Linked DNA regions of Anolis sagrei. The protein of the gene in region 1 interacts with the protein of each later gene in a biochemical or structural test. Links are inferred from orthologs where the notes say so. Each region holds a gene or a part of one and is shown on either strand. Other genes may lie near its edges. The genes, in order: FGFR4 and FGF19.

Evidence for each region.
Region 2: the proteins of FGFR4 (region 1) and FGF19 form a complex in vitro, tested with the Homo sapiens proteins (2 studies listed by BioGRID and IntAct). The link is inferred for Anolis sagrei from reciprocal best matches to the Homo sapiens genes FGFR4 and FGF19.

What each region holds. Positions count from the first base shown.
Region 1 is NC_090022.1:77,266,080-77,275,408, reverse strand, and holds the start of FGFR4 (fibroblast growth factor receptor 4), read left to right. Parts: upstream 1-5,111; 5' UTR 5,112-5,496; intron 5,497-7,976; 5' UTR 7,977-8,015; coding exon 8,016-8,115; intron 8,116-9,329. UniProt on the Homo sapiens protein: Tyrosine-protein kinase that acts as a cell-surface receptor for fibroblast growth factors and plays a role in the regulation of cell proliferation, differentiation and migration, and in regulation of lipid metabolism, bile acid biosynthesis, glucose uptake, vitamin D metabolism and phosphate homeostasis.
Region 2 is NC_090021.1:266,691,774-266,700,814, reverse strand, and holds the start of FGF19 (fibroblast growth factor 19), read left to right. Parts: upstream 1-4,781; 5' UTR 4,782-4,870; coding exon 4,871-5,096; intron 5,097-6,578; coding exon 6,579-6,682; intron 6,683-9,041. UniProt on the Homo sapiens protein: Involved in the suppression of bile acid biosynthesis through down-regulation of CYP7A1 expression, following positive regulation of the JNK and ERK1/2 cascades. Stimulates glucose uptake in adipocytes. Activity requires the presence of KLB and FGFR4.

The DNA.
Region 1 (9,329 bases):
CATTAATGTGTGTGTGTACACACACCTTCAAATTACCTGTTGTTAATAACAATCCATAGGGTTTCCTTAGGCAAGGAAGACTCTGAGGTGAGTTGCCACTTCCTTCCACTGAAATGCAGCCTAAAGAGCCTGAGCTACATTAGAAGTCTCCATCCAAGTACAAACGAAGACTGACTACTGATTAGCCTTTAGGATATTTAGGATTATGCAATTGAAATATCCTGAAAGACAATCCTTGGGGTACCATCCAAATGTTGCAAAAGGGTTTGGGTTTATTTTGGAGAAACAACTGCAAAACAAACCATGCTAAAAGAATTTTCCAGGCTGTGCTCCTCTCCAAGATTGAGTCAGTCCATCCAGGTTGTTCTTGTGGAGCTGAAGCCATGGCAAGATAAATTAAAAATGGATAGCTTATTGTTTGGCTGTTTGGCTGGAAGAGTGATGAGGCAAACATTCCTCCCAGTGGATAACCTTCCTCACACGGTGATAACCTGCACAGACAACTTGGCTCCTCCAAATGCTTCCCTGTGTGACTGAGCCTCGGGGAAGGCCTCTTCGCCTTTTTCAAAAGGAGGTGGAGAGGTTGCCATCTTCACACTCCCCCCCCCCCCCCCGAAAGGCATTTGAACTCCCTGTTTTTATTACGCTGGGGCTGGGCCGTTTTCCTTTTCGTAGAACTTGAGGACACAAAGTGTTTCCGGAGAGGGATGGCTTGTGTTAATTTGTGGCAGCAAAAACAACAAAGATGCTTGTGACTGTCTTAAAATAGGCTCCCCCATACTGGTGTCTTCCAGATTGGGGGAGCTGGACTACATTTTAAAATTAAAGACTCTTGAAATAGAGACATTGGTTGACTGCTGTATGGATTTGTGAAGGGCAGAAAAGCAGGCAGGTCTTTCTTTGCTATGCATGGAGCTGCAGATTGGAGGGTCATTTCCTAACACTAGTTTAAGAAAGGGGGACAGAGGTCAATGCAACCTGAAAACCACACCTTCTCTTCTAATAGTCAGCCAGAGGCTGCATCTATGCTGTAGAATTAATGCTGTTTGACACCACTTTATTTGCCAAGGCTCAGTGCTATGGGAATAGAGGTTTTACAAGGGCCTTCTTTCTCAAAAGTTGCCGATGCCTGACCAAATTACAAATCCCAAGATTCCATAGCATTGAGCTACAGCAATTAAAGTAAAGAAAAACAATGTTAATTCTACAGTGTAGATCAGTGGTCCATGGAACTCACTGTTACTACACGGCTGTATCGGGAGGGGAGAGGCTGACTACCCATGAAAGCAACAACAAGCCTCCTGACTTCTGCTTCTCCTCCTCCTTCCTTCCTTCCTTCCTTCCCCTGAGCCGAGCCATTCCATGTGGTGTCTGGAAGAGGGGATGCCCTGATGTCTTTGTTTTTAGGCCTGTTCCTGGGGTTATTTGTGGTGCTGATTCAGATTATCAAATATTGTTTTCTGTGGGCAAACAGATGGAGACTACTGGATGGCATTTGTTCTGTATCAGAAATTAGAGCTGATGTGGTCTATCCAATACAGTTTTCTAAATCAGCACCCCAGATAATCAAACCAAATCTAAAGTTGACCAAAAACTGATTCATAACCCTTTTGGTACTAATGTTGGAGAGTGGCCCCTGGTCAAAAAATAAGGTTGGGAACCACTGGTGTAAATGGACCCTCAGTTGTGCCTATCAGCCTTTCTGCAATCTGGCAAACCCATGTCCTCAGACAAATGTATTAGATTTGTCTGCTATCATCTCCAGTGGATCTACTTCATAAGCACCTCTGGAAAGTGACAGGTTGTGGGAAAGCCGGTATATCATTATGATGGCTGGGAGTAATTAAGAAGCATTCTGTACATGCTCTGAAACACTATTTTTCCTGTTCCCAAACATTATTTTTAAAGCTCTGTTCTTTGCATGAAACCAACATCTGGGTACTTCTCCCCCACCATCATAACATCCCAACCATAATTTTGTGCAGCCTGAAATTTCTAGCTGGGTTTACAGAGGGTCTTGCAGAAAGAATCAGTTAGCTGTGTCCATCTGCAGCTGTCAGAATACAGATTAACTATTTGCCTCCCAACTCCTGCAGCTGCTTCTAACTTCACGTTCCCATAATGATTTTTGGCATACATTTGAGACAAGTCATCTGTGACAAGTCTTCTCATTAAGCTAAGTAAGGCAGTTATCTGGGCTCCGCTGAATGCAATGTTCAAAGGCATATTGGTTTCCCAATTTCCCAGTGGAGGGAATGTGTGTGTAAATGCATGTGACACATATCCATGCCTTACATCTATCTCACAGCTGGGATGATGTTCTGAAATCCAGATTAGAAAATTGCTTTCAAGGGGACTGGCATGTTGAAGTCATCCTGAACACTGATAGTTACGATGCTGTTCTTCTGTTTTCACCATCTGCTTCTCTGGCCGTGGAATTCAACAAAAAAGCTCCTGTTTTGTAGATTTCCTATGAGGCGAGTGGGGTGGTAGCAGGCATGTAGCGGGGGGGGGGGGGGGGGGGGGCTTGAGGGGCTTCAACCCCAACCCCCCCCCCCCCGAAATTCTCATGGTGGTTCGCAAAAAGGCCTTACTGGTGCAATATTTAAACTGTTATGTTTATTCATATCATGATCTGATCACCATGCTCAATATATCCCATATGCATGGGGGTATTGGGGTAACGATACAAAAGGTTTGCTAGGGTAGACCCTCTTTCACTCAGACACAGCCCCCCCCCCGAAACAAACTCAGCCCCCCCCCCAATTGAAATCCTGGCTACGGGCCTGGGTGGTAGTCCTTTGTGACAGCGATGTCTGCCTGCATTAATTCTGCAGTAGATGTACCACTTCAAGGCACATAGTAGCCCAAATGAAGTTTATCTAAACCAGTGGTTCCCAACCTGTGGTTTGTGGACCACCAGTGGTCCGGGAGAACTAAAATATGGTCCTCACCATTACTACCCCGTTGCAACGAGAGTGGCTGGTCTCATGAAATGCTCTTATAGTGATGAGGCTTATTAAATATGGTTTTCTGTGGGCGAACAAATGGCGATTAATGGATGGCCTATGTTCTGCATCAGAAACTAGAGCTGATGTGGCCTATCCAATGCAATTTTCTGAATCAGCACCCCAAATAAGTAAACCAAATTTAAAATTGACCAAAAACTGATTTGTAACCCTTTTGGTACTAATGTTTGAGTGGTCCCTGGTTAAAGTGGTCCCTGGTCAAGTGGTACCTGATAATAATTAAAAAAGGTTGGGAACCAGTCATCTGAACATACACAGCAGGGAGTTCCAAGGGGGCACAATCTGCCTTTTCATCTTCAGGCAAAAAAGGCCCTTTGCAACAAATCACCCTCTCTACCCCACACTCTTTCCACTTTCTTTTGCCTATCCTTTCACTTAGCATAGACTACTGCAACACGTTCTACGTGGGGTTGCCTTTGAAGAAGGCCCGAAAGCTTCAATTAGTCCAATGGGTGGCAGCCAGATTTCTAACCAGAGCGGCATACAGGGGGCATACTACTGTCCTGTTTAATCAGCTCCACTGGCTGCCGATTCGCTACTGAGCTCAATTTAAAGTGCTGGTCTTGGCCTATAAAGCCCTAAATGGTTCTGGTCCAATTTACCTGTCTAAATGTCTCCTTGTATGAGGCTACTAGAACTTTAAGATTGGCTGGGGAGGCTCTGCTCTTGGTCCCACCCTCTTCACAGGTGTGATTGGTGGGGATGACAGAGCCTTCTCAGTGGTGGAACTCCCTCCCCAGTGACATCAGGCAGGCCTCATCCCTTCTAGTTTTTAGAAAAAAGTTAAAGACATGGCTTTGCACATATAAATGACTATGGGCTTTGACACGGTTTGAATATGGACTATGAACAAGGATTTTGGATGACTGGAACTAGGCACTTTATATGTTTGAATGTGTTTATTAACTAATTATTAAGTGTTTTAATGGCGGGGGTGTGTTATTGTTTTTACTGTTAGATTTTACCGTTATTGAATGGTACCGCAGTTGTAAACCACCTTGAATTCCCTGAAGGGAAGAAAGGCGGGGTATTAAATGAAATAAAACAATAAATGATCTCATTTCTTTAAAATAGCATTTCTCAACCTGGGGGTTGGGACCCCTGCGGGGGTTGCAAGGGGGGTGTCAGAGGGGTCACCAAAGACCATCAGAAAACACAGTATCTGTGTGGGAAGTATGGCCCAGTTCTTTTGTTGGTGGTGTTTAGAATTCTTTTTGACTGTAGGTGAACTATAAATTCCAGCAACTACAACTCCCAAATGTCAAGGTCTGTTTCCCCCAAACTCAACCAGTGTTCACATTTGGGCATATTGAGTATTCGTGCCAAGTTTGGTCCAGGTCCATCATTATTTGAATCCACAGTGCTGTCTGGATGTAGGTGAACTACAACTCCAAAACTCAAGGTCAATGTCCACCAAACCCTTCCAGTATTTTCTGTTGTTTATGGGGGTTCTGTGTGGGAAGTTTGGCCCAATTCTTTCACTGGTGGAGTTCAGAATGCTCTTTGATTTTGGGTGAACTATAAATCCCAGCAACAACAACTCCCAAATGACAAAATCAACTCCCCCAACCCCACCAGTATTCAAATTTGGGTTTATTGGGTATTTGTGCCAAATTTCGCCCAGTGAATTAAAACACATCCTCCATATCGGGTATTAGTATTACGATTCATAACAGTAGCAAAATTACAGCAACAAAAACAATGTTATGGCTGTGGGTCAGCACAATATGAAGAACTGTATGTATTAAGGGGTCGCGGCATTGGGAAGGTTGAGAAACCCTGTGGCCTTTCCCCAGGAAGAGCTCCTGGTTTGGTCTCTCCGGTTTCCAGGGCGAGCGGGAGAGGAAGCCCAGCGAGGGCAGCAGGGAATGAACTCGGCCTAATCCCTTTTGCCGGAGCTTTGGGGGAGAGAATTTAGCTAATGTGAGTGTGAAAAGGCGCTGGAGGGGGGGGGGGGGTGGAGGAGGGGAGGGGCTGCCGCGCAGGGAGGGAAGGAGGGAGGGAGGGGCCCTGGGGGCGGGGCGGGGAGGGGAGTCCCTCGGGCCCCGCCCCCTCCCTCGCTGGCTCTTTTGGCGGCCCATTGTTGGCTGGGGTCCGCGCGCGGGGAAGGGGAAGGCAGGAAGGCGAGAGAGGGAGAGAGAGAGGGAGGGGGGTGTCACCCGAGCCCTGGGGCTACAAAGTCCCCACGCCTTTGCCGACTTCGGCAGAAGGGCGCAAGGGAAGGGAGCCGGGACCCTCGGGGCGCGCGTTCGGGGCTCTCTCCGCCTCCCAGGGCAGGGAAAGAAAGAGGTGGGGGAAAAAACCTCTCCTCCTCTTCCTCCGGATCGATCTCCCTTTCCGCGCGGGAGGCGCCTCGCTCCCTTGGCCGGCCAGCTGAGGATGGAGCGCCTCTCCGCAGCCCCAGCTTCCAGGAGTTAGCGGGACCCCGAAGCCGCAGCACCAGCAGCAGCCGAAGGCGGAGGAGGAGGTGAGGAGGGCGCCTTCGGGCCGGGTTTGGTGCAGCGGAGGGGAGGGGGGCGGGCGGTTAAAGCTTGGTGGCCCTTGGACTCACTCGGGTTGCCTCGTCCCTTGGCTTATAGTTTGGGACTGCCTTCTCGGGCGGTGTGGATGGAGAGTACCTTTGGCGACCCAGGAGGCTCCCCGGGGCGTGGCGGGGCCGAGAGCCCTCTTCCCTGGGCGGACTTTGACCGGGAAGGTCTGTCAATCTGTTACCAGAGGTCTTTTGCTCCCCCCCCCCGCCCCCTTTGAGATCGCGGGATTAAAGATTAAACCACCTGGGAGACCGGGGAGCTCTTTCTTCCTTCCCCTGGTCCTCTCACTCACTCTCTCGCATCTCCTCCGCTCCGCCTGGCTGGGAACTTACTTCGTTTCGCCCTTGAAACGCGCGCCTCGCTCCAGGCGCAAGACTTTCCCCCGTTTCCTTCCAAGCGGCATCCGAAAGGAGCCCCCGGTGGTGCAGTGGGTTAAACCCTTCTGCCGGCAGGACTGAAGACCGACAGGTCGGAAGTTCGAATCCGGGGAGAGCGCGGGTGAGCTTCCTCTGTCAGCTCCAGCACCCCGTAGTGGGACATGAGAGATGCCTCCCACAAGGATGGGGAAACATCAACACATCCTGGCTTCCCCTGGGCAACGTCCTTGCAGACGGACAATTCTCTCACACCAGAAGCGACTTGCAGTTTCTCAAGTCGCTCCTGACACGGAAAAAAAATCCGAATCCTCCCGGGAAGGTGACCCGGATCCCAGGGAGGATGATCCCTGTGATGGGAGAGCTCCTCGTCCTGACTCTCCCCGGTGCGCCGCCTTGAAGGGACTGCCCTGCTCGCAGCATCTTCCCATGAAGCCACCGTCTTCCTCCCGTTTTCCCTCCTCGTTTACCGGTCCTAAGGTTCCCCAGGCTCTCCCCTCTTGTTGTTTGTCTTGTGCTGCCCTGGAGCAGCCACCCAGGCTCACAACCAAAGATGTCCCTCTGAGATTTGGGCAGAAAGGGGAAAAGGTGGCAGAATCTTCCTGCCCTCTTGGGAAGCAGAGAGGCAGGGACCAACATCCTGATGCCCATTGCGAAGGGCCCCCTGGTCCAGCTGCACTTCTCAGTCTATTTGATACAGGGGACCGAGCTATTACTTCCCTCCATTGGACCAGGGACCCATCACCATAATAGGGGCCATTGGCTGGCATTGTTCCTTTGTTTCCTGGTCATTTGCCAGGAACTGACAGCTCATGCCCCGGGAATTGGTCCTAGTCCAGAGAGCACCACTTACATTTGGTCCTCAAAATGTAGTCCTCTAGATCAGGTATTGGCAAACTTCGGCCCTCCGGGTGTTTTGGACTTAACTCTCACAATTCCTGGCATCAGGCTCCTTCCTTTTCCCTCTCAGCCGCTTAAGCGGGTGTTTGGACCTCCCACAATCACTGGCCTTAGACCCCTTCCTTTCCTCCTTCTGCTACTTAAGCAGATGTTTTGGACTTCAACTCCCACAATTCCTGGCCTCAGGCCTCTTCCTTTTCCCCCTCAGCCATTTAAGCGGGTGTTTTGGATTTCATCTCACACAGTTCCTGGCCTCAGGCCCCTTCCTTTCCCCATCAGCTGCTTATGCAGCTGAGGGGAAAAAGGAAAGAGCCTGAGGCCAGGAATTGTGGGCGTTGAAGTCCAAAACACCTGGAGGGCCAAAGTTTGTCCATGCCTTGTCTAGATCCTTTACATAACCCCAAGTATATATGTGTAAAAAATAGATGTAAAAATCAAACATTTCCTGACAACACATCAGTATTGGCAAGACTTGCTAAACAGGCTGGTTTTCCTTTTTATGAAGTACAGCTGAAGCATTTTCTGCAGAGCCCACTGTAAACGCTGCTCATGGTTGCTAACAGATTCATGTAAATGTCTGAAACCTTTTCTGTTGCCAACTGAGCTAAGGGAACCCCATTTGTGGCTGGAACCCACAGTTTAAGAAGCAGTGCTGCTCTGCATGTTTTGAAGTTGAACTCCTGAAAGTCCTAGTTGGTGAGGCCAATGCAGGCAGTTCTTTCCAAACATCTGGAGGACCATAGTTTGAGAACTATTGGTCTAGAACTTTGAATGAAGTGTAGCCAGTTCTCAAAGGAAGAGTGGTAAAATTGCAAGGATGGCAAACCATGTGCTCCCCAAGAAATAAATTAGCATTTCTTTGAACTTATTTTCTTGTGGGAATGGTTAGCAAATCGGTCCCTTATTTGAAATCCCTGCTGGCGGCCCTTTCCTTCCAAAGAGAATGTCTAGCAGCCAATCATGGCTGGCTACAGGAGTCAATGTCTATATAAACATGTTTCTCCTTTGCTATTCCTGCATCCATGCAAGCCATTATTATTGGCAGTTCTAGATGGGTATGAACTTAGGATATGTGGTTCATTGTGTGTTGAGTGGAAAAAATCCAGAGGGCTGAGTATGACTTTCTCCTCTCTTTGATCCAGGGCTTTACATTTCTACTGGAGTCAAGAAGAAACGACAGGATGAGAACCATACTGTGTGGCCTTCTGAAGTTTCTGGCAGTGGTGGCAACCACATGTGCTTGGCCAGCAGCTGCTCCCATGGGAGGAACCACAGAACCGGGTGAGAGTGTGGGGATGTCTCTGTTGTTGGGAGAAAGAAGATGACCAGTTTTCCATAGCCTGGTGTCCACCAGATGGTTGGATTACAATACGGACCGTCCCATTGTAATCCAACACATCTGGAGGACAGGAAGTTGCAGTAAAGCCAAATTAGCAATGGTTTTGGCTTGAAACAAAGGGGCTATGAATTCTCACAATTTGTGGGGCACCCTTTTCATCTTTGTTGGGGTTTGATAAGACATACTGCATTTCTTATGACAATAGTACAGAGCCATATTATTCCCATTGGAGAGAGCTAAGCAAAATTGGACTTTCCAGTGTTGTTAGAGTACAGTTCTCATCCATCCTAATTAGTATAGCCTATAGTAAAGGATGATGGGACTTCAGCAACATCTGAACAGCGGCATCCTTACAATCATGATTTGCTGTCTTCTAAACCAATTCTCTCCTAACCTGCTAATGAAGGGGAGGGGGAAATCATGTGTCCCTCCAAACATTCCTGGATTGCAAGTCCTGAAAGCCCCAACCCAGTGGTTCTCAACCTGTGGGTCCCAGGTGTTTTGGCCTACAACTCCCAGAAACCCCAGCCAGTTTACCAGCTGTTAGGATTTCTGGGAGTTGAAAGCCAAAATATCTGGGGACCCACAGGTTGGGAACCACTGCCCTCACCAGCAATGAGGGATGCAGGAGGCTGCAATCCAGCAATTCCTGGAGGCCACAAGATTTCCAGTCTATACTAACACAGTGATATTGCATGCTCATTTCTCCATGTAATGATGTAGTGCATACAGCTCTTAATGGTTATACTACATGTTTTTTCCTCCTCAGTCTTTTGGTTGAACAGAACATAAGCAATCTGATGATGATGGTCTTTGAGGAGAAAGTACACCCTCTAAGGCAGTACTTGTGTGGGCAAAAGGAATACCGCATGCAGACAGTAATTTAGGATCTGCTGGCAGAATTGCAGAAGTTTTGTAATAGTTCATCCAGGATTCCTGATTTCAAGGAAAATGCAATAAAAATCTGCAGTATTTAATGCAGATCACCTCCAAACACCAAATTGTTTATGATGTCTCTGCCAGGAAGATTGTGAGCAAGAGGTTGATGAGGCCTAATTTTTCTCTGTCAGGGGCACTTCAGTCTCATTTAGCAGCTAGTTTTTCTTTGGATCTGTTTCTTGACTTTGTCCTTAGCTGTCAATTTGGTTGATTAACA
Region 2 (9,041 bases), on another chromosome or scaffold:
TTGCATTTTTAACAAACAAACAAAACACAAAGTTTGCAGGCTTGGTAGTTGATTAAATGTCCTTTGACCAGTAGCTGGCCACTTGGAGTGCCTCTGGTGTTGCTGAAAGAAGGTCCTCCATTGTGCATGTGGCAGGGCCCAGGTTGCATTGCAGCAGGTGGTCTATAGTTTGCTCTTCTCCACACTCGCATGTTGTGGATTCCACTTTGTAGCCCCATTTCTTAAGGTTGGCTCCGCATCTTGTGGTGCCAGAGCGCAGTCTGTTCAGCGCCTTCCAAGTCGCCCAGTTTTCTGTGTTCTAAGTGATGTTTTGGCCAGATGGCACAGAGAATTATCTCAAACTTAACTGAAACTGGATTGATAAGTTTTGTACTGTGTATGCTGAACTCACGAAGGTTGTGAGTAAACCAAATAAGTTATTTTTCAAATCAAAGTCTATTTCATTTTTGTCTCTTGAGTGCATGATATAAAACAAGTTGTTTTATGGGGGAGTGTATATTTTTGGGCACTGAAAGACACTTCTGAAGCACAGCTGTTTTTTTTTTTTAATGCACTGGCAAAATCTCTGTTTTCTGAACAGATCAGAGATAACAGGTTACTCAGTCTAACACCTGAAACCATTGCCTTGAATAATTATACAGGGTGAGGCAGCATAACTTCCTTTTTTAAAATGTGTGCCATTTGAAGACGTAGCGGAGTGCTAGTGGTCTCGTTTGAGGGTGGGAGTATAAAGTTTTGTCCTGACACAGTTAAGTCCCCACCATGCATTGGAACAGTGAGGAGCGTGCTTTTGCCGTTGAGGCTTACTTTTCGAGCAGATTTGGAGTGGCCGGCCCACTCTCCAGATTTGGCCCCTTGTGATTTTTTTCTATGGGGTTTTTTGAAATTCCGTGTTTATGTGAACCATCCAAAGACCCTACAAGATTTGAAGACCAACAGGAAGAAATTGCCAACATAATGTCTGCTACGCTGGCAAGAGTCATGACAAACGCCAGAAATCGGTTTACTCAGTGTATGGAGAATGGAGAATGGGGAACGTCACCTACCTAATCTGATCTTCAAAACTACGTAAAACAAAACTTTAGGTATGTGCCTACATTATAAAAAAATAAATTTCTGATTCATACAATGGGTTTTATTAAGTTTTGAAAAAAGGAAGTTATGTTGCCTCACCCTGTATCTAATTATATACCACAAGAGAAGATTCTACTCTAAAGGGGTTTCTGGCTCTTCTCGAAAAGGCCTTTTCCAAAAGGTTATGAATGCTATTTTCCAAAAGTTCAATGTGTTTCCTCCCAACTGGGGGTAGACTTTATAGAAACCATGTGAATAATGCTTGCTTGGGAAAGGTTTCCAAGTGTGGACTGCCCTTTCAGAGAACAAGGGAACAAAAAATGAAATTCCCAGGAAGTCTAGGTGTGACATGGTTCTGGGGAGGGAGTGTATCAGGAGGGGAGAAAGTCGGCGGGTGCCCTTTGCCCTCCGCTTTGGCATCCTGCCCAGGACAACGAACTTGGGGAATGAAGGGAGTGATCTAATCCAACAGGGCTAAATACTTTCCTCTTGGCCTTGGACTGCCACCCAGAGGCTCAGCGTGTCACTTTCACCTAAGAGTGGCACCTTGCCCCTCCAAGTGCCTGCTTGCAGCTTAGGGATGTGAAGGCAGGTGCACACAATGTATATCAGACATAGGCAAACTTTGGCTCTCGGGGTGTTTTGGACTTCAACTCCCACAATTAATAATAATTTATACCCGTCTCCATCACTCCAAGGGGACTCAGGGCAGCTAACATGAGGCCGAGCCCAATAGTTACAACAAAGCAAAACAAATGCAGCATACAATCATAAAATAATACATAAAATAAAATGCAATAAAATATATGGAAAGAAAGAAGGAGAGTAATACAAAATAAACACAGGGTACAACAAAATAAGCAAAGATATTAAGCCGAGTGGGCAGGGCCAAGTACAGAGGATTGGATTTTAAAACCCTGTGTGAGGCAGATAAATAGGGTGATGCATCTCGTGGGGTTCAGATGGGACAACCAAAGGGAATTAATTTCAACCAAAGGATGAGATAAAGTGCATCAAAGGGCATTTTGTACTGAATTGATCAAGGTAAGGGGATTTGATGTTCATTCCTGGAAGGCACACCTAAACGGCCAGATTTTTAGGCTCTTCCTGAAGGCTGCCAGGGTGGGTGCTTGCCTAATCTCTCTGGATAGCGAGTTCCAAAGTCGAGGGGCCACTACAGAGAAGGCCTTCTCCTTCGTTCCCACAAGTCGCGCCTGCAAAGGAGGTGGGAGCAAAAGGAGGGCCTCCCCTGATGATCAACTAAGGTAGGCTGGTCCCAAATCGTTCAGGGCTTTGTAGATGATAACCTACACCTTGAATTGGGACCCGATGAATGGCAGCCAATGGAGCTCCTTAAACAGGAAAGGGCTTGAGGCTGTTTGGAATTGTGGGAGTTGAAATCCAAAACACCTGAAGGGCCCAAGTTTGACCTATATAGTAATATAAATAATGCAGACACACACAGAGGAGTGATGCAAAATTAGATGCTCCTGAAAAGCAGTGTTGTCTGCTGTTGCCTTCACAGCATCACATGAACAATCCCCCCCCTTTCCCCTGTCGATCACCCCCTCCCCTAATTCGGAATCTCTTTCTTCCTGTCGATTCTGGGAGGTATTGCATCAGAAAGAAAGAAAAAAACGCTTGGCCACCTTGGGGAACAAAGGCCCCGCTCCTTCTGCCTAAGGTGGGCGATTTTCCGGGTCAGCAGCAAGCCATTCTATGGAGCCCTCGGAAGACTTCCTTCCAGCGCCTCCCCTCCTTTTCTCTTTGCAAACGGTGCCGGGCAGAATGAATACCCGGCCTTGATTCGCAGACGCGGCGTGGAAAGAAAGACCAAGGGCGTGGAAAGCGCGGCGTCTCCCTGAACACGAGCAAAGGCAGGGCAGGGGCCAGCCTTTCCAAACACCACCGAGATTCCTTGAACTTTGGGGAGAAATTGGCAGATCTTGAGGGATATATTGTGGGAAAAGCAAGGATAGTACAAGAAGGGACCTCAAGGTGCTTGAGTCAGCCTGAGTGTGAGGCTATGGGTGCAGAATTAATGCAGTTTACTGATTCCCCAGCACTGCCAGGGCTCAGTGCTAGGGAATCATGGGAGTTGTAGTCTTACAAGGCTTTGGCCTTCACTGCCAAAGACCAAACCTCAGTCCCCAGAATTCCATACAGCATTCAAGTGGTGTGAAACTGAATGGGTTCGAAACACACCCGCCTGGCTTAATTTGGTGAAGACTGGGTTGGCGTCCCCGCCAGTCATGAAACCCACTGGGCCAGTCACACTCTCTCAGCCTCAGAGGGAGGCAGAGGAGAGCCTCATCTTCTGCTCAACTCTGGAGAGTGGCGCCCTAAGTGGGGATGGAAGGGCTTGGAAGCGGAAGAGATGGATTACTGTGAGTTTTCCGGGTTGTATGGCCATCTTCCAGAAGCATTCTCTCCTGAAGTTTCGTCCACATCTATGGCAGGTGTCCTCAGAGGTTGTGACGTCTGTTGATAAGTAGGCAAGTGGGATTTTTTTCTATCTTTCTGATGCAATACCTCCCAGAATCTGTGGAATATCCAGGGTGGGAGAAGGAACTCTTGTCTGCTTGAGGGAAGTGTGAATTTTGCAATTGGCCACCTTGATTAGCATTGAATAGTCTTGCAGCTTCAAAACCTGGCTGGTTGCTGCCTGGGGGAATCCTTTGTTGGGAGGTGTTAGCTGGCCCCGATTGAGTCTTGTCTGGCTTAGGTGGACTCTCTTTGGATTTGCCCTGCTTTTTGAGTGTTGGATCTTTATTTGCTGTCCACAAGCATGTGGACAATTTCAACAGAAAGGAAGAAAAACCATGAAAACGTACAAAATCTGGCAACCAGTATTTAAAAACTCAAAAATCAGGACAGTAAATAAAGAACAACACTCAAAAACGGGAATTCCAGACAAGAAACAATCAGACCCAGCTAATACCTCCCAACAAAGGATATCCCAAGGCAGAAAGCAGCCAGGCTTTGAAGCTGCAAGGCCACTCAATGCCTATCAGTTGGAACATTCACACATGTCTCAAGTAGACTAGTCTTTCTCCCACCCTGGACTTTCCAGAGATATATAAACCTCATTTGCCTAGTTTCCCATAGACCTCACAACCTCTGAGTATGCCTGGCATAGGTGTTGGGGAAACGTCAGGAGAGCATGCTTCTGGAGCATGGCCAGGGAAACTCACAGCGACCCAGTGATTCCGGCCATGAAAGCCTTCGACAACACATGGAAGAGATGGGCTCCCCTCCTCCTCCTCCCCCCCCCTCCTTGGCACCTCTCCTTGGGGCGGGGGACGCCTTTGAGGCCCCTCAGCCAAGGAGTCCTGTTCTCTATCCCCCCCCCCCCGCCTTCGCCTGTTCTCCGGAGTTTCCAATCGGCACCCTCCTTCCATCGTACGATCCTGGGCGGCGTCTTCAAAGCCCCCTTGGCGCCTCTCCCCCTCCCCGTCCTTTTCTCTCCCTGGAAGGAGGGAGTGGGGGGGGGGTCTCCTGGGCAGAGCGCGTCTCTTGCCGGGAATGATGCAAGAGCCCTGAGCCAGTCTTCGGGGCGTGTGTGGCGCAGGGAGGCTGGCGCTGCTCCTCTCGGGCAAGTGCCGCTCGCCTTTTATCGATCGCCCGAGGGCTATAAAAGGGGGTGGCCGTGGCTCCACGCGTCCTGCCTGCCTTCCTTCCTGCCAAGGGGAGCTCTTCACCGGAGGGGATCCCGCGCCCAGAGCTCTTCTCTCTGTGTCTCTCCGTCCCTTCTGCTCTGCTCTGCGCTGCGGAGGGTGCCTTCGGGGCGGCGAGGATGTGGCGGCGGGCGCTGCCCTTGCTGGGGGCCCTGCTGGGCTTGGCGCCCCTGGCCTCCCGCGCCCTCCCTCTCACCGACGCCGGGCCCCACGTCAGCTACGGCTGGGGGGAGCCCGTCCGGCTCAGGCACCTCTACACCGCGGGACGCCAGGGCCTCTTCAGCCAGTTCCTCCGCATCCACGCCGACGGGAGAGTCGACGGCGCCGGGAGCCAGAACCGGCAGAGTAAGTCCGCTTCCCTTGGAGGAGGGGGAGAAGGCGGAGAGAGGGGGGACCCATGCCTCAGTATTGGGAAGGATGTCCCATGGAAGAGGAGGGAAAGCTTGTTTTCCGCTGATCTGGAGACAGAGTAGGACAGGGAGCAATGAGATCAAATGCCAGGGAAAGAGAGTCCACCTAAGCCAGGCCTGGGCTAACTTGGGCCCTCCCTCCAAGTGTTTTGGACTGCAGCTCCCACCATTCCTAATGGCAGGGAAAGAGAGTCCACCTAAGCCAGGCCTGGGCCAACTTGGGCCCTCTCTCAGGTGTTTTGGATTGCACTCCCACCATTCCTAACAGCCTCAGGCCTCTTCCTCGCTTAAGCGGCTGAAGGGGAAAAGGAAAGGTCCCGAGGCTGTTAGGAATGGTGGGAGTTGCAATCCAAATCCCCTGGAGGGAGGGCCCAAGTTGGCCCATGCCTGAGCTAGATGCTTTCCCCCCTTTGTGGACACATTGTCAGGAATATATACCAATCAGGAGCTTATCTTTATTGATCCAAAACCCAAGGCAGTTTGGAAGGTATGGCCTTTGGTGGTGTTTCCAAATTGCAAAAGAATTTGAGTTTTCACAAGATGGGATGGGATTCAGATCTGTTAAGCTCAAAATAACCACCTGGATGGAGGGCCCAAGTTGTCCCAGGCCTGGGGCCCTCATCACGGTAGAGAAAAAATCCACTTAAATGTATTGTCAAAGGCTTTCATAGCTGGAATTACTGAGTTGTTCTAGGTTTTTCGGGCTATATGACCATGTTCTAGAAGCATTCTCTCCTGACGTTTCGCCTGCATCTATGGCAAGCATCCTCAGGGGTTGTGAGATCACAACCTCTGAGGATGCTTTCCATAGGTGCAAGCGAAATGTCAGGAGAGAATGCTTCTAGAATATGGCCATACAGCTCGAAAAACCTACAACCGAATCCACTTAAAATATGGTTTCTACCTCCTGCAGAATTCTGGGGTTTGTAGTTTAGGGAGGAGCCTTTAACAGTCTCAGTAAACTACAAACCCCATAATTCTGCAGGAGGCAGAAATCGGATTTTAAGTGGATTTTTTTCTCTAGTGTGATGAGGCCCCTGGTTTAAGTATGACCACCCACCACCAGGAATGAGAAGCCAACAGATAGAAGAGTTCTAGAGGCGACCAGTTTTCCATAAGATGCAAAGCAGGGGATTTGTGGACCCAAAGGGGGAAAAAGTCATGAGAGACAGGATTCCCATTGGATGGCCATGCCCAACCCACCTCATGGAGTGGCACCCCTAGTGAAGCACAAGAAGCCGCCCTGAAACAAATCACTCTGAAAAGTGCCACCAAACTACTTTGCAGAGGAAGGTGTCTCTGGATTCCATATCTTTGAGGGTTTCCAAAAAGCGATGACTCCCCCCCCCCCCCCCGCTTCTCCTCCTTCCCACGCGTGTGGTCCCGTGACGCCTCCTCCGTCTGTTCCTCGTGGCAGGTTTGCTGGAGATCCGCGCGGTCTCGTTGCGCGCCGTGGCCCTCAAAGGCGTGCACAGCTCCCGCTACCTCTGCATGGAGGAGGACGGCCGGCTCCGCGGGATGGTGAGTATCGTCCGTGGCACCAAGGGCCGCGCCTCCCTCCCTCCCTCCCTTCCCACCTCCACAGCCATGGATCCGTCCTTTCCCGGAAGGAAGACCACGTGGCGGATTCAAACAACAACAAGCCCTGCTCTTGGACCATCCAGAGCCAAAGCAGGGAGCTCGCCTGCATGATATTCTTGGCAGGCGCCAATGCGGTCTCAACACTTTGTGCCTGTTTGAAATCACACATTCAAAACAGATTGAGGAGCAGAGTCATTAGGATCTTGGTGTGAATTGGCACAACAAGCCTCATCAATTGAGGAAGGGAAGGTAGAAGAAACCAGGAAGGTTATTTTGAAAACGCCAGCCCTGCTGGTGGGATCAGGAGAAAGGAAATCCCTCATTTTCTACATGCCCCATTTTACAGTGTGGTCAATTGAGGATCAAACGGTAGGATCAGTTGCTCTCCCTTTGCGTTCACTGGAAGTTGGACCCCACCCATCTCCCCCCCCCCCTTTCTCTTATCCTCCAGCCTTGTTAGTGTTTTGTTTTGGGAGTAGAGGCGGGGCCCACAATGTTGTTCTGGAATGTGGACTGCCATGCTTTATTGTTTGTTTATCTTTTTCTTCCGGATCTGTTTCAAGGATCACCAGGCCAAGTCTTTGCCTTTATCTCCTCCTGTCCTCACAGCACCCCAGAGGAAGGCGAGTCTGCCAGATAAGGACACCACCGCAGGCCACCCAGTCTGCCTTCTGGCTAGGCAAAGAGTCCAGACCACAATCCCCTCATCCAGCCTTTTTGCTTGTACTTCACAAAAGGAAGAAGTTTGTATAATGCCCCCTCCTTCCCTGCCGTTTCTTAATATTTTTGCCCCATCTTAAATTAGAATCACATCCATAGAATCCTAGAGTTGGAAGAGACCTCATGGGCCATTCAGTCCAACCCCCTGCCAAGAAGCAGGAAAATTGCATTCAAAGCACCCCCGACAAATGGCCATCCAGCCTCTGTTTAAAAGCCTCCAAAGAAGGAGCCTCCACCACACTCCGGGGCAGTGAGTTCCACTGCTGAATAGCTCTCTCGCACAATTTGGAAGTTCTTCCTAATGTTCCAGTTAAATCTCCTCTCTTGTAGTTTGAAGCCATTGTTCTGCATCCTAATCTCCAGGGCAGCAGAAAACAAGCTTGCTCCCTCCTCCCTATGACTTCCTCTCACATATTTATACATGGCTATCATGTCTCCTCTCAGCCTTCTCTTCTTCAGGCTAAACATGCCCAGCTCTTTAAGCCACTCCTCATAGGGCTTGTTCTCCAGACCCTTGATCATTTTAGTCACCCTCCTCTGGACACATTCCAGCTTGTCAACATCTCTCTTCAATTGTGGTACCCAGAATTGAACACAATATTCCAGGTGTGGTCTAACCAAGGCAGAAAAGAGGAGGGGTAGCATGACTTCTCTGGATCTAGGCACTGTATACTATTGATGCAGGCAAAAATCCCATTTGCTTTTTTTGCCACTGTATTACATTGTTGGCTCATGTTTAACTTGTTGTCCACGAGGACCCCAACATCCCTGGCCATACAACCCTTTTCTAGTGAGGTACGTTGTCTTTTCCAAAAACTAGAAAAAGGATTGTTGGGTTGCTGTGAATTTTCCGGGCTGTATGGCCATGTTCTAGAAGCTTTCTCTTCTGACGTTTTGCTCACATCTATGGCAGGCATCCTCAGAGGTTTTGAAGTTTGTTGGAAACTACTCAAGTGAGATTTATACAGTAGTGTCTTGCTTATCCAACAGAAATGGACCAACAGAACATTGGATAAGTGCAAATGTTGGATAATAAGGAGGGCTTAAGGAAAAGCCTATTAAACATCCAATTACATTATGATTTTACAAATTAAGCACCAAAACATCATGTTTTACAACAAATCAACAGAAAAAGCAGTTCAGTACATGGTAATGTTATGTAGTAATTACCGTAGTTACGAATTTAGAACCAAAACATTGCAGTGGAGGCAGACTGTGAAGGCAGACTACATTGGATAATACAGAACGTTTTGGATAATACAGAACATTGGATGAGCAAAGGTTGGATAAGTGAGATTCTGTTGTATATCTGTGGAATGTCCATGGTGGAAGAAAGAACTCTTGTCTGTTTGAGGCAAGTGTGAATGTTGCAATTGGCCAGCTTGATTAGTATTGAATAGCCTTGCATCTTCAAAGGTTTCCAACAAACCTCCCAACTTCTGAGGATGCCTGCCATAGATGTAGGCAAAACGTCAGGAGAGAATGCTTCTGGAACATGACCATACAGTCAGGAAAACTCACCTCAGCCCAGTGATTCCGGCCATGAAAGCCTTCAACAACATAGGATTATTGTTCATGC